2 linked regions of the Oreochromis niloticus genome follow. The protein of the gene in region 1 interacts with the protein of each later gene in a pairwise test. Links are inferred from orthologs where the notes say so. Each region holds a gene or a part of one and is shown in the gene's direction. Other genes may lie near its edges.

What was found.
Region 2: the proteins of xpo7 (region 1) and uso1 interact in binary tests that used the Homo sapiens proteins (3 or more experiments, as listed by UniProt). The two-hybrid records come from large-scale screens. The link is inferred for Oreochromis niloticus from reciprocal best matches to the Homo sapiens genes XPO7 and USO1.

The regions. Positions count from the first base shown.
Region 1 is NC_031972.2:37,386,486-37,394,524, reverse strand, and holds the start of xpo7 (exportin-7), read left to right. Parts: upstream 1-4,782; 5' UTR 4,783-4,872; coding exon 4,873-4,905; intron 4,906-5,819; exon of another isoform or gene 5,820-7,918; intron 7,919-8,039.
Region 2 is NC_031971.2:17,313,597-17,321,253, forward strand, and holds the start of uso1 (general vesicular transport factor p115), read left to right. Parts: upstream 1-4,458; 5' UTR 4,459-4,646; coding exon 4,647-4,712; intron 4,713-6,347; coding exon 6,348-6,434; intron 6,435-7,009; coding exon 7,010-7,074; intron 7,075-7,154; coding exon 7,155-7,231; intron 7,232-7,531; coding exon 7,532-7,543; intron 7,544-7,657. UniProt on the Homo sapiens protein: General vesicular transport factor required for intercisternal transport in the Golgi stack; it is required for transcytotic fusion and/or subsequent binding of the vesicles to the target membrane.

The DNA.
Region 1 (8,039 bases):
AAAATGTTTTATTTTAAACTTTTTGATTCTATTTGTAAAACGTTCATAAATGTCTAATAAAAAACCCAACGCACATCAATTCAAGGCTGAACTGAAAACCTACCTGGGAACTTTGAAAGGTTTGACAAATCTGTAAGCCATCAAGACTCAAAGTCATTTTAATACCTTTAAAGATTTACTTTGAAATATCTGACATGTACCTCTCCTGAATGTTTCATTGTTTGTTTTCCTCTTTATTTGATTTTATTGCTTTACATTGTAAATTTTATCAACTACATAAATACTCAATTTGTATTTTATGTCAATATTGATCATTCTAAAAAATTACTGTTTGTACATCACTTCCTACTCTTACATCGTTTCTATAGCTCTTTCAAAATAAAAGCAAAGCAGAGTTTCTTGGTGTAAAAGGTTTATTTTTGGACAATTCTGACATAAGACATTCTGAATAACCTGATTTTAAAAATGTCACATTTTTAGGTTCTGATTTGTTTTTCTGGGAACAAAACGTCCATCACACATTGTTCAAGAACCATCAGAAAGTTGAAAATCTGCCAATGATTTTTGTAAAGAGTACAACACTGACACTTTTTTCTTTCTTTTTAAAAATGAAATTGAAACTGAATTTTAAATAAAAATCATTCAACCTCAGAGTGCAGACATGTCTGCTGTCAGCAATCTACGATCCGATAATCAGTTTCTGTGCTGCATCTGTCTGGATGTGTTCACTGATCCAGTCAGTATACCATGTGGACACAACTTCTGCAAAAACTGCATCACTCAGCACTGGGACATGAATGTCATGTGTCAGTGTCCCATGTGTAAAGAGACTTTCTACATTAGACCTCAGCTGAGGGTCAACACATTGCTCTTTGAGGTGGTCGCTGAGTTTAGACGTGAAGTTCAGCAGAAAGCCAGCAGTAGCAGCTCAGAGCAACAAGCTGCCAAACCAGGAGAAGTTCCCTGTGACATCTGCACTGGAACCAGACTGAAGGCACTGAAGTCCTGCCTGGTGTGTCAGGAGTCCTACTGTCAGACTCACCTGGAGCCTCATCTGACAAAGAAAGGCCTGAAAAGATATCAGCTGATTGATGCTTTGGAGAACCTGGAGGGCAGGATGTGTAAGAAGCACGATAAACCTCTGGAGCTGTTCTGTAAGACCAACGAGACATGTGTCTGCGTGCTCTGCTCTGTTTCAGACCACAAGAACCACGAGTTTGTTCCTCTGAGAGAAGAATATGAAGGAAAGAAGGCAGAGCTGGAGAAGACAGAGGCTGAAATTTAGCAGATGATCCAGAAGAGACGATTGAAGATTCAGCAGATCAAAGAGTCAGTGAAGATGAGTAAATGTGCTGCAGACAGACAGAAAGCAGAAGGTGTTCAGGTCTTCACTGCTCTGAAGGAGTCTGTTGATAGAGGCCTGAAGGAGCTCATAAAGGAGATCGAAGACAAACAGGAAACTACAGAGAACCAGGCTGAAGGTCTCATCAAAGATCTGGAACAGGAAATCTCTGAGCTGATGAAGAGAAGATCTGAGGTGGAGCAGCTCTCACACTCCGAAGACCACCTCCACCTACTCCAAAGCTTCTTGTCCCTGAAAGCTGCTCCACCCGCCACAGACTGGACAGAGGTCAGCGTCCGTCCACCATCATATGAGGGGACTGTGGTGAGAGCTGTGGCTCAGCTGGAGGAGACACTCAGGAAACTCATGAAGAAGAAGCTGTTTGAGGCTGAGCTGAAGAGGGTCCAGCAGTATGCAGTGGATGTTGTTAAGTTTACATACGCTGCTAAGATGGTGAAGGGTCGCTTTTAGTCTGTCTTTGCATGTGTGAGTTCCTGTTTTATTTTGTAGGTCTGCGTCTCTCGTTAGTGTTTCTGGTTTCGCTTCCCCTTGTCTCGTTATGTCCAGTTACTCCCAGCCGTGTTTTCCTCCTGTTTCCCATTCCCTGATTGCCATGTGTGTATTTAAGCCCTGTGTTTTCTGGTGTGCATTGCTGGTTTGTCTGCGTTATTTAGTGTTTTCTGGTCTGTGTATCGCTTGCCGTCATCCTGTGAATTCTCCCTGCCAGTTGCTTTCACTTGTGTTCAGGTTTTGTTGTTTAAGTTTTAGTTCTCCCAGTATAGAGTATTTCTAGTTCTGTTTCTCGCCGCCCTTTCCTTTGTTTGTTATCTCACCGTCGCAATAAAGCTTGCTCACTTCAGAAGCTACCTGCATCTTAGGTACTTTAATAATTCACACGGCTTGCCCCGCAAACCGTAACACATTCTTCCAATGACATCATTTTGATGTGATGATTATGTTTCCATGTTCTGATGATTTAGTCTAAATAATAAACAGAGAGTTGAGGAAAGGCTGCAATCACAGCATTGTAAGGCGGTGAAGGCTGAGCTGTCATTTAAAAAATGGTTTGCACATGTTCAGGGGATGGATGGAGCTGCCAGCTGGGAGGAGAAGAGGAAGACCTCAGACGAGGTTCATGGATGTAATGAAGGACCCCATGCAGATGGTTGGTGTGATGGATTTTTTTTTTTTTCATAACTCTAACTCTGATTAATATTTATTTGATCAAACCAAACACTTGAAATTCATCAGCAAATATCAAACGTTACACATTCTTTGACTCAGAAACAGTTATTTGCTCCTGCCATGTTTCTACTTTTAGTAAAACTTCTCTCGTGGTAGCTGTTTACGCTGCTGATTTTATTTTGAAAGTCCGCATAGAAAGTTTTGATCCTCTGTCAGAGTGCTGGCAGTATTCTGCCCTCTGGCGGTCAGACCTGAAACTACAGTATTGTCTCAGCCACTGCAGAAGACGTTTATCATCGTTATCAAACCTGCCTCTTTTTTTTAACCTTCAAACCTTTATTTACAACAGCAACATAACAATTTACAATAACAACATGACTGTGACCAAATAAAAACCGGAAATAACAGAGAGAGGAAAAAAAATTAGAAAACCAGCCCAAATCAAACCTTTTTTCTTTCTTTTTTTGCCTGAAGAGAAAACACAAAATTCAGAATTTAAGGGGAAAAGATCCAACATTTCAAACGTAAAATATGTTTAAATGTGACTTTTATTCTAAGAAAAAAGTGTGTGTGGCACCTGACCGCTGCAGTCTTTGTTAGTCTGCATATTAAACACAGACTGGCTCTGAGTGCATGATGATGATTACAGAACAACATGAAAGTCAGGTTCATTCAAAGCTCATTCTTTGAGGAGCTGCACATCTGTCTGCAAATGTGGAGATCACACTGTGATCACAGAGGCACATAAAACCTGTTGTTTATAAACATATCTATTTATTTAAATAGAAATATCATAAAGATGACATCCACCCATCCATTTACCCAGTTCTGGGGTGCTGGGGTGCTGAAGCCTATCCCAGCTCTCACTGGGCGAGAGGTGGGTGCATCCTGGACAGGTCACCAGTATATGGCAGGAATAACACAGACAGTCATTCACACCTACAGCAGATTCCAGATCAGTAGTTCACCTAACGAGCAGGTCTTTGGACTGTGCACGGGGAGAACATACAAACGGAAAGAACCCAGGCAGCCGATGGATTTAAACCCACGACCTTCTTGCTGTGAGGTGATGGTGCTATCACTCAAAAATTACAAATTTAAATAAATGAAAAAATATGAATGTATTCCTTTCTGATTACTTTTGGGCTTACCTGTGTAGATCCACTAACATCCACCAGGGGGGACTGCGGTACCCACAACACACCTTCCAGTTTTATACTCAAACATGTTATCGTATTAGATGACATTGTGCTTCATTGGACTACATGCACTGTGGTGTTTAAGATTATGACTCAACAACAGAAATATTTTAATAATCCAGCGTTTAGGACATTCATTCAAACAGCAACAAAAATACAACAAGGGCTTAGATATAATATGACCAAAGAAATAGGCTAATGAGGTCAAAACTCACCTGAAATTAAACAATCCCAAATACAATCAAGCAAAATATAATTATAAATGTAAATATAAATAATTCAATTCAATTCAATTTTATTTATATAGCGCCAAATCACAACAGTTGCCTCAAGGCGCTAAGGACTGCAATGATCACATCCTCATTCATTCCTTTACTTTCAATGGCACGCCGAAGAATTGCACTGTCGTCACTGGCATTGAAGTCTGGATATGGAGTAACCAAATAATTAGTAATAATATAAAAATCGCAAGTGCAATAAATAAACACAAAATAACTTTAAAAATACAAATAAAATATTCAATTTAATAAATCATAGGTTATAACACTGTTTTCTGATGTGTTACTATATGATAGGATGTTACATTACATTTGTCCATTTAGTCCATCTATCTATAAGCATCTTTAAAAATGTCAGTTCAAAAACTTATAGTACTACTACTACTACTACTACTAATAATAATAATAATAATAATAATAATAATATGACAGTTAAATTAATTTAAAAAGTCAGAAGTTTATAAAAAGAAAGGTTTTCTAACGAGTTTTTTAAATGTCTGTCACTAAACAAACTCTTATTGTATGCCTAACTTATCTTTGTTACATGTTATTATGCATTCATATCTCTATGTATTTGATTCCAATGTGTTGTAGTGCATTACATTGTGTTGTATTGTAACATATTGTCTTACAGCACTGTATTAATGAGATGTATAGTTTATTGATCTATTTGCATTGTTAAATTACATTGTGTTGTATTAAATTGTTTTATGTTGTATTTAACTGTATTAAATTGTATTGTGTTATATTAAATTGCGTTCCATTGTGTTTCATTGTGTTGCATCGTGCTGCTGGAGTCCTGCCAGCGGCCACCAGCGGGGGCGCTGTTGTCACTTTGGTTACCCATAAGCGGGGGAGTGAGAGGTGCATGAAATGGAGAAAAATGGCGGATCATGTGCAGGTAAGTGGAGGTTTCATGTTTTTGTCGCGGATAATTTCTGTAGGCGGGCGCAGCTGAAGCTGAGGCCGGATCCGAGTGCGCCGCTCCCGGCACGGAGCCGGCGTGCAGCCGGTGCTTGCGGGCGGCGGCCGCGGTGGAGCTAGCGGGGAGAAAGAAAGGATGCGGCCGCCTGTGTTGACTTGTGGCCTGCTGTCACAGCACGGGCTGGAGGCTAGCCGCTGTTAGCAGCCAGGGGAGGGATCGGGCTCCGGGGCGAACAAGGGAGTCTGCGGGCTCCGAGTGTCCAGACCGGTGAGCTCCGGCGTCCGTGGCCGTCAGAGGCGGGTAACCGGAGGGCGAGCGGCGGGAAAAGTCGGTGTATTTCAGTGAAGTAAACAATGAAACAGGCGGTTAGCTGTAGACGGATAGCTGCCAGGCTAGCACGCACGGTCACCTGGCGCCACCGGGAACCGCCGTAAACACGTTTATCCCGGCCGGACCGACGGACCGGGCCCGGTACCCGGAGCTTCTGTCCCGGAGTTCCAGGTTTTTGTGTTTTTATTCACAGCTCGCTCCGGTAACGACACCCAGCCATGCAGCAGGCTAGGCTAACGTTAGCATCTCCACACGTCAACTTCTCCCGCCCGAGCGTGTTTGAAAACATGACCTGGTCTGTGTGAGCGTTAGTCGGTGAAACAGGGCGACGGTACCGGGCCGGACCCGCGAGGGGCTCCAGGGTGAGGACAGCGGGGGTTTCACCCTGGTGTGGGCAGCCTAGAGCGGCAGCTAGCCAAGCCGCTGTGCTCCGGCACATGTTTGGGAAGCCGAAGGAGGAGAGGGATGAAGTTCAGCTGCTGTGGGCTTCCTCCATGATGTCCCTGCAGGGAACTCAGTGAGGAGACTGTGGAGACTTTGTGCTGAGGGACAGGTGAAGCCAGCTTTCGTTTTCTCTGCTGGTCACATGAGCTGTGTGTGACATGACATAATATATTGTTAATTGCGCACAGCATGCATGAACTATGAGGAGAAACTCATCCGGTCCTCTCATGTTAGAGGCTGTAACAGGTCGTTATTGTTTCTGCTTTAGAGTAACTTTAATCAGTTTATCTGTGATCAGCTTTAATCCCAGGAAGGGTGGTACGAACTCAGGTGGGTCACAGATTCACTGAATGTGGTCAAAGTGGAACATCTCAGCCTGATTTCATTAATATTTAAATAATTTACCAGGTAACCAAACGTTCCGGTGAGTTTCTGAGGGATTCTGGGTAAACTTGTGACGATGATTTCAGGTTTTTCAGTCTCAGCTCTGGTCAGAGTACTGGGGAGAAAATATTTATTAGTGATAAAAATGATAATATAAATTATTCTAGCAGTTATTTTTATGATTATACAGATTAACTATAAATTCAAAGTCATGAAAACAGCAAACTTTATAAAAACAGTTTTAAGTTAGCAGATTTAACCTCAAATAAAGTTTTTAAAGCTTTTTTTCCCTGGAAATGACACTTACTTCATCACCTACTCCCAGGTTTATGATCCTGTGAGTGCCATAAAGTGTCTGATAATCCAGGTGAAAGTCTTCACTTATGTAATGGTTATACTGGTACCACTGAGCTGGATGTAGCTCATAAATTCATAATTAATAATGTTTGGGTAAAGTAAGAGAAGGGCCTCACGTCGGGCAGTTCTCGTAGCTGGATTAAGTTGAATTTCTGTGATTCTGGCACACAATAAGCCCAGATCCTTGTTTTTAAGTATTTTTAGGTGAAATCTAACAGAAAGCAGACTTTAAGTATTTTTAATGATTTTAAATGACTGAAAACGAACCACTTAAGTTCTTTCTGGTGTTACTGAGACAGTTTTTGGTGGAATAAAGATCAGGCTGATATTTACTGCCCGTTTCCACTGTGTGCTGTTTATTTTACTCAGCCGTTTGTCTCCAGACTGATGATCATGTAGCTGCCTTGTTCTGATGGAGGGTTGTTCACTTTCCTCACTGTAATAAAATAACATTAATGTGTAATTTTTAAAAGATCATCTCATGTTAGAGCCCAAACACCTTCATTCCTGTGATCAAACACTAACTTTAGTCAGTTTATCTGTTATGAGCTGTCATCCAAAGATGATGTGATGTGGCGTGTCGAAGGCCAACGCCATGCGGCCATGAGGTCAGAGTGACCTGCCTGAGTCTAAAAAGTTCACGTTGAAGTCCAACGTTTACGCTGGTGTTCCTCACGCACGTTCCTCAGGCTGGAGTCACTGCACAGCAGGGAAAGAGATTTTCGCTCTTTAGCTCCATAAAACAGTTTCTAATGTTTGTGTAGTGACAGCAGATGATGATGGAGAGGATTTTTCTTCAGACATTTCAGGCCCTGAATCGTCTGTTTTTCACACACCTGTGTGTTTATTTGAATAAAAAGGGGTGGTCTGTATTGACAGCCGTGCTCCTCTGATGTTCAGGACTCCTGCTAATGATGATTAAATGTCCATCTGGTAATCTTTAGATAATAGCTGATCAGCCGTCTGCTCCCTGACGCCTCCCACAGGTTCTCTGTTTATGGAGATAAGCTTCAGACCAAAAATCACCTCCTGAATATTTAATGATTCGGGAGGTTTCACAGGATATCCCTCCATTATGTTTATTATGTTTCTGCACACATGGGCCTTTGTAGCTCGAGCCTGCAGAGCCGTGAGGAGTTTATAGAATATAAAACGCGTTAATAAATAAAAAATCTGCTCTCAGGTTTAGACTGAGCCTATTCCTGTGAGGTTATTATTTATGATCTCTGTTTTCTGATGCTTACCTGGGTCTAAGCAGAGACTCCCCACCTCTCTCTGTGGGACGCATTCTAGTCAGGTGCTGCACCTCCTCAGCTGGAGGAGCAGCGTCTGTGCTACGAGCTCCTCCCAAATGACCAAATCTGCCAGCCTGTCTCTGGTCTCTGAGGGAGCGCCGGGGGTCAGATCTCCTCCATCCTTACACCTGCGATCCTGTCAGGATCACACCCGACCTCTATGGTGCCTCCACGGGACGCTGTGTGTTTCCAGGTGGATTAAATGATAGAAGTAGTTGCATATTTGTACAAAACCGAGACAACTAACAGGCTGATTAATGTTCAGTTTAAATACAGGTTATTTAAAGTCTTTGGTGAACA
Region 2 (7,657 bases), on another chromosome or scaffold:
ATCTACAACTACAACCACCTCCAGGGTTTACAGACAATGGGCCAATAAAGAGAAAAATATCCAGTGAGCAGCAGTTCTCTGGGTGAAAATACTTTGTTGATACCAGACGTCAGAGTAGAATGGTCAGACTTCTTTGAGCTGATAGGAACAACAGTTAGTCAAATAACCACTCATTAAAACAAATGTGTGCAGAAAAGCATCTGTGAACACATGTCGAACCTTGAGGCAGATGGGCTACAGCAGCAGAAGACCAGACTGGGTGCCAGTCCTGTTATCTAAGAACAGGAACTAAAATTGGACAACAGAAGATGTTAAAAAAATATTGCCCAGTCTGATTAATTTCGATTTGTACTCTGATATTTAGGTGGTAGGTTCAGGGTTTGGCGTAAACAACATAAAGCATGGATCCATCCTGCCTTGTATCAATGGTTCACGCTGCTGGTGGTGGTTAATAGTGTTCAGGTTATTTTTCGGCACACTTTGAGCCTCTTACTACCAACTGAGCATTGTTTAAATGCCACAGCCTACCCGAGTCCATCTTTTTATGACCACGGTGTACCCATCTTCTGATGCCCATTTCCGGCAGGTTAATGGGTCATGAAAAATTTCAAATCATCTCTGCATCAGTTGTTTGATGCCGTCATGCCAACATGGACCAGAATTTCTGAGGAATGTTGTAAGCACCTTGGGCCTATCTGACAGGGGCAGTGCTTCGAGCAGCTGAAGTACAAAAGTAACTATGAAATGAAATAATGTAAATAATGTGTATATACAGTCTAGAGGAATATATACAAAATAAGAGAAAAGCACACAGTGGAGAGCAAAGTGCTTGAGAGTAGTGCAAAGAAAAAAAAGACTTGGTCTCAGCAGAGTCTGTTTGTGAGTGACCTGATGAGACCGTGGCTCAGATTGGTAAGGTGTGGTGTAGGGGTACAGTGTTTGTTAGCGGTCCGAATGGCCCATCGGAAAAAGCTGTTAGTGACCCTGGAGGTCGACCAGAGGGCAGTGGGTCAAACTGGTGGTGGGCAGGGTGCAAGTAATGACCCTGGTTTTCCTGAGACAGGAGCCAGTGATTTCTTGGGCGTTGATAATTACCTTGTTCACAGCCTTCCTGTTGTCAGAGGTGGAGCCTGCGTACCAAACACCCAGGCAGTAGGAGAGCACGCTCTCCACTGAGGAGCAGTACAAGGCTCCTTTATTTTTTTTTAAGGAATTTAATTTTTAAGGAATAAGGAATGCTCCAAATGTTTTCAGTTGGTGAAAGATCTGGACTGCTGGCAAGCCTCTTCGCCACCCAGACTCCTCTACTGGTATAGAATAGAATAGAATAGTAAGTGAGTAAAATTTATGTATATAGCACTTTTCACTGATAAAAATCACAAAGTGCTTCACAATAAAACCAGAAAGATACATAAAATAATAATGTGAAACAATTAAAAAAAATTAATTAAAAGCTTGTTTGTATAGAAATGTCTTCAGTTACTTTTTTTAAATAACCTGTTATTGTCATTGTACAATGAAACTTGTGGACAAAACCATGCTGTTATATTAGATGTATTAGATGCTGCAGTATGAGGTTTAGTATCATTTTACTGAAATACTCAAGGCCTTCCCTGACAAATAGGTCATCTGGATAAGAGGTTATGTTGAAGTCCTGTATATACGTTTCAGCACTGATGGTGCTGCTAATCTCATGGGAACTAAAGCACCTCCATACAATTAGAGATGTATGATTTTTAACCGAGTCTGGAGAATGTGGCATCCATGTTTCGTTTTGTTTTGGGGTTTTTTTTTTTTTTTTTTTTTAACTTCGGTTAATGTCTGGAAGTGTTCCTGAGCCCATGCAATGATTCCCTATTTTGATCCCGATTGACTGATTTTCAGCCGTGTCCCTTGTGTACAGAGATTTCTCCAGATTCTTAAAATCTTTTTATGACATTGTGTACTCTAGACGATGAGATATTCCAGGTCTTTGCAGTTTTACATTAAGGAACATCATTCTGTAATGTTTCCAGAATTTATAGAGCCATATTTAAAATATATAAGTTCATTTTTTTGTAGATTAGTAAACCTCTGAAGATGCAGATGTTGTCGTTCCCATAGCTGACAGAAAATGTGTCCAGGCTTCTCTCTGTGAAGCTTTTAAAAGACACTAGAGGACCACATGTTGCTTTTGCTTTGTCATTTGTGTCATGGCTCTGATGTGCAATGATGAAACTCTACTGCTTTTATATTATTGTACTGGATTGCTTCACTAATTTCAACATAAGTTTATTAAAGACACTGAATTACTTTTATGACTGGGTGCATTTGAATCGGTTTGTGGTGCTTTTCTTGTCTGTGCTGTGTGGAAGCAGCTGTGCGCAGGGCTTTAGAAACAAGATTTATGCAAATCAAGATTCACACATAATAAAGGACACGATCAGTAACAATGAACCCAGCCATCAGAGCAGATGGTAGATGGGGGTTAAGGGCACTGAAGACACAGTTACAGAAACAGTTTTCATTGCTGTAGGAAAATAAAAAGGTAATTCTTTATTTAAACAGGCAAAAGTGTGCTGTTGTGTTTGTTGGGAAATGATGTTTGGTGGCATGAAAGTTTACTTATTCTCTGAATGTTGTCTCTCCGGCTCTTCATGGTGAGCCAGAAGCAGCTAGACATCCATGTGTAGATGTTTACAGATAATTGAATGAACGTTGTTGTGCTTATCTCAGCGTTCTTGTAGATTTTTTCCCCCTCTTTATTCTCATCCAGATCACACACCACTCAGCAGATCTGGATCTATATAATGTTCCATGAGAAAAACACCATTTTTTCTTTGGGTCCAAAGTCCCCTGGCAGGTTAATCCAGCTCTGGGGTTACACGCAGGTTAAAATCGAGTAGATCTGGTTTCTGGTTTCACTTTATTTTACTTTGGTGTGTGCTTCCTCTGAGTGTGTTTCTGTAAACTTTGCTGTTTACCTGCTGTTTTCTGTAAGTACCTACACATATAAACTTAGTCACTCTGCTTAAGGATTGTTTAGGTGTGTATTTGACAGTTATACCATACCTATTAGTTATATTTCAAAATTAAAAGCATACAAAAAAAAATTTGTTAATAAAATGCATTAGACTGTACAGGTTCAAGTGCCCAACCGTCCTTTCCTGAATGCCTTTCCTGAGGTTCGCACATTTATGTGTGACAATTTGATTTCCCTCGGATTGAGTTAGACATATGACAGCAATTATAATCTGAAATAGTAAAATTCTCCAAAGTAGGTAACAAAGTTATGAATCAGTCATAAAGTGCACACGCCCAAACAGTTTTCACTTTGTTAAATCACTGCACGCTGACTAGGAAGTTTGGGTTGTTTGTATGCGCTGATCCAACCCTGAATTACACCATTAGAATTACCACTTACACAATAAAAAAGGCTGCTGTGTGCTTATGTCTGTCTGCAGGCTAATAATCAATTAAAGGTACAGTAAGTGATGTTTTTGAGGTAACAGAATATTGTATTCACAATTAAAAATTTATGGGTTCTTGTAAACTAATTAAGAATTAATACATAAAAAATGCATAAGAGGTTGCCAGTTTTTGTATATATATTTTTGTATATTATAGGCAGAGGTTTTAACAATGGACAGCTTTCACCTCGTGCTCATTCAAGTATAATAAACTGAAAGTGGAAATATTACTAACACTGAAACTGTTGGTATTTATTACACCCACTTCTGTGTAATTAAAAAAAAAATCCTCCTAACTACCATTTATAATTGTATATATTAATTCAGTATTAATACTTCCTTGATCACCAGTTAACCTAACATGTGTTTGTTTTTGGACCGTTGTACTTTGGAGAAGGTGAAACATGTCAACTCCATAAAGACAGACCCCAGCCAGGATTTGAAGCAGGAACTCGCTGTGAGGAAGTAGTGCTAACCACTCTGCCATGCTGCCATAATACACGTCTTGTATCTGTCAAGGCACCCTCTGACCTCTGTATGACCTCTTTTCCTTATGTGCATCATACATAATGGCTACTATATACACAGAAACAACAGTTTACAGTTTCAAGTTTACAGTTGTATTGTTACAATTGTTGAGAAATCAATAATTTCTCTTGATTTGATGCCCACTGATCTAAAATCAATGCAATGATCTAAAATCCACCTGGATAGTTACAGATCAAATTTAATTCAGAACAAACTCAGTGTATAAAGGATTGTAGCTCCTGTACAACAGTATAAATTTTAGAGATATTTGTATTCTTTGTGTTTTTTGCCACTAAATGACACATTTTACTCCAGTCGAACAGGTTAAATTTTACTTGAACAGTGTGTGAGAGTTAAAAACTTTAACCCTCTAATGATAGATTTAATTGATAATTGTTTATTTTATTGCTGCATTGCCTATCACAGAGCATAATCATTAGTTTTCTTGCCCTTTAAATAACCGGCTGGGTCTTCTGCTGCTGAGCCACGTATCGCCACGTTTGCGAGCATGCGCAGTGCCCAAACGTTAGTGTTCCGGGGTAGGTCAGTGTACACAGTGTAAAAAATATATCATTGTGTACTCTCTTACGTGTCTATTATACTGAGCACAGTGAGAGGCGGCAGAGGGGTGTTTTGTGAAGAAAGAGAGGCTCTGAATACGGCACCGAGATGAACTTCTTCAGAGGAGTGATAAGTGGGCAGGCAGCCGGGCCGCAGCCGTCCGGAGCGGAGACGGTAGGAAAGCAGCTGGGCTAGCAGCGGCTAGCTAACGTTTCTCCGCTGTGCGCCGTACAAACTGAGAACAGGGGGATAGAGTTGTGTTTTTAAGCCCGTTATTTTTTGCTTCGTCACATACAAACACTTAAGAGAATGTGTGAAGATACATTTCACTTGGCGAATGGCTGGCAGCGAGCTAGTTAGAGGGCTAATGAGCTAACGTGGCTAATCTGTCAGGCAGCAGTGGGAGTGTGTGTAACCTGCTGTGCAGCCACAATGAATGGAGAAATCCATGAAAGACACGGACACCAAGAACCAGCCCGTTAGGACTGTCAGCTGTTTACACGTCAGAGTTTTGTTTTGATTAAGTTTAATCTGCAAATCTACTGAACATATTGGGGTGATCTCGTAAAATGAGCTAGTGTATAACATAAAAATGGACCTTGTCGTGTACGTAGGGCGGCAGCGGACTATTATCTTTAGTACTGATTGCCTGCTAATCAATTGGTTTAAAGCACAAATAAATAACTGAATATCTGGCTGTACTTCAGCCAGATACTCCAGACAGCCATGCATAGTGTTCCATGCAGGAATCTCCTGACACATTGCTGACATTGCAGCAGACAGCCACATATAATCAGATCTTTGTATAGTGACTGCTCAGGGAGGAAGCTGTCACTCCTGAGAATGCACAAAACACTTGAACAGAAACCTTGTGAAATTTTTTTTTTTTCCACCTTGTTACTGCTCTTTCTGGGATCGGAGGTGTTAAATTAATTTACTGTTGACTTGTCGACATATTCTTGTCCCATCCTGCAGTAAAACTTATCAGTTTTCCAGGAAAATGTGCATTTTTTAGACCTGCGATTCCAGCCGCGTTTTGCTTTTGCTTTTGGAATAGGACCTGTATGAAAATGAAAGCAGTAAACCACACTACAATAAGTGCATCTGGTGGGCCTTTTTTTTTTTTTTTTTTTTGGCTGGGTCGACTTGTCCCCTTTGTCTCTGCAAATCAATACAAAGTTGTCACCTTCATCCCATGATGGGAGTAGTCTCTTCCAGGGTGACATGAAGGATTGCTGAATGGTTTGAGTATTAGAGTGATGCAAGTCATTTTCTGTGGCCTTTGCAGTCAGCCAGATCTCATTTTAGACAGACAACTTAGACACTTTGTCACACTGTCACAGCCGACTTTGATTTCATGGCAGTTTGCATTAAACATGTGTTGACTCATCATCTTAGTAATAAGAGCTAAGCAACTTGAGATACAGGAGATATCGTGCATTCACACTTGCGCCTTTTCATAAGTGATATGTAAATCTTACTGAAGTGACCAAGGTGCACATTAAGACACAAGCTGTCAGATGGTGTTGGATTAAAATAAAAGATTTCAAAACTTGAAAGGGTTCAGAAATACTAGTGTTTTTTCCTTTAATTTGTCAGCTGTCTGTGTGTGCTAAATGTAGTTATGTACAGTATTTTGTTTTGGGATTTTTTGCTTCTCCTCACAACTCCACCACAGAACCATTGGGGCTTAGAAACCACAGCTCTTTAAAACATTCCAAAAATTCTCTCAATTTCAGAGACATAAAATTACAGAAATTATCAGCAAGCATTGCAATAATAATTAAAAAATAATATGTCCATTAACAGATCCAGAAGCTGTGCGATCGAGTTGCCTCCTCCACGCTCCTAGAAGATCGGAGAGATGCTGTCCGTGCTCTTAAGTCCCTCTCCAAGGTAAAGTACAAGTAGAGACTCACTAAAAGGGCCTGCAGCTGTATGCAGTCAGTTGCTAGTTATATGGATTCTAACTTGCCTTGAAAAATTGTAATTTCTTGAAGGTTTTATTGAAATTATTTAAGAGAAGAGCTGTGAAACTTTGAGTTGAAATCACTGCACTAACATCATGTACATAAAGCAGTCTGCACATATCTTCTGCTTTGTCTCTCTGCGATAAATGTGCTGTCAGTAGCCTTGGATAAAGCTCTTGTTTGTCACATTCTACTGATTAAAATGAACTCATCTCTGACCTCCACCAAGTCACTTCTGTTCATGGACAGTTTTGCCATTAGCTGCACTGTCAACCATGAGTAATGAGTTTATCAGGCTTGAATAAGGGGTTTAAGAAGCACAGGGTTTCACGTTAACACACGTGGGTGTCAGTCCTGGTCTGCCACACAGATAGATGTGCAGGTTTCCTGTATGCCACAGAAATCCAGAATGTTTCTAACTTTTCATATTGACTAAAATTCCTTTATTTTAGGTTCTGGTTGCATTACCAATCCTATGAGCATTTTTTAAATGTTTTCTAGAAATATCGAATGGAAGTTGGAACACAGGCAATGGATCACTTGATTAACATACTACAGACTGACAGGTACGTTAATACTCATACTTGTAATGCTTGTGGATTACAGCTCAGTAAACATGCTAATGTTTGTCTCCCAAATACAATAGATCAGACTCTGAAATCCTCGGCTATGCTTTGGATACGCTCTACAACGTCATCTGCAATGATGAGGAGGAAGAACAAGGTATTACACCCCACATCCTTAAAAAATATGTAATTTAACTTGAATTCATAACTGGAAGATCTAAACTCTGATCTAAAGATGTTTTTAACTATATTGAAATGAATTCCTCCTTATTGTGAGGCTTCTGTAAATGGTTTGAACTGACTTTAAACCCATGTTTGTTTTGCATGTGTAAATGAGTTCAGTTCATGTTAAACATGGAAAGCTGTCAGTTTGCATTCCCTTCTTCTATACACTGATGATGACTGCTTTATGTAAAGACTCTCGTCTCTCTCTTCTCTTCCATGTTTTAACCTACAGATGAATCAGAAGGTAAAACTCTTTGACTGTGCATGATGCCAACCCCTCTAACACCAACGGCACTTATGAATCACACAGTCTCCTTTGTTTGGTTATTGAAAAAGAGCACATTTTAAATTTATTCCC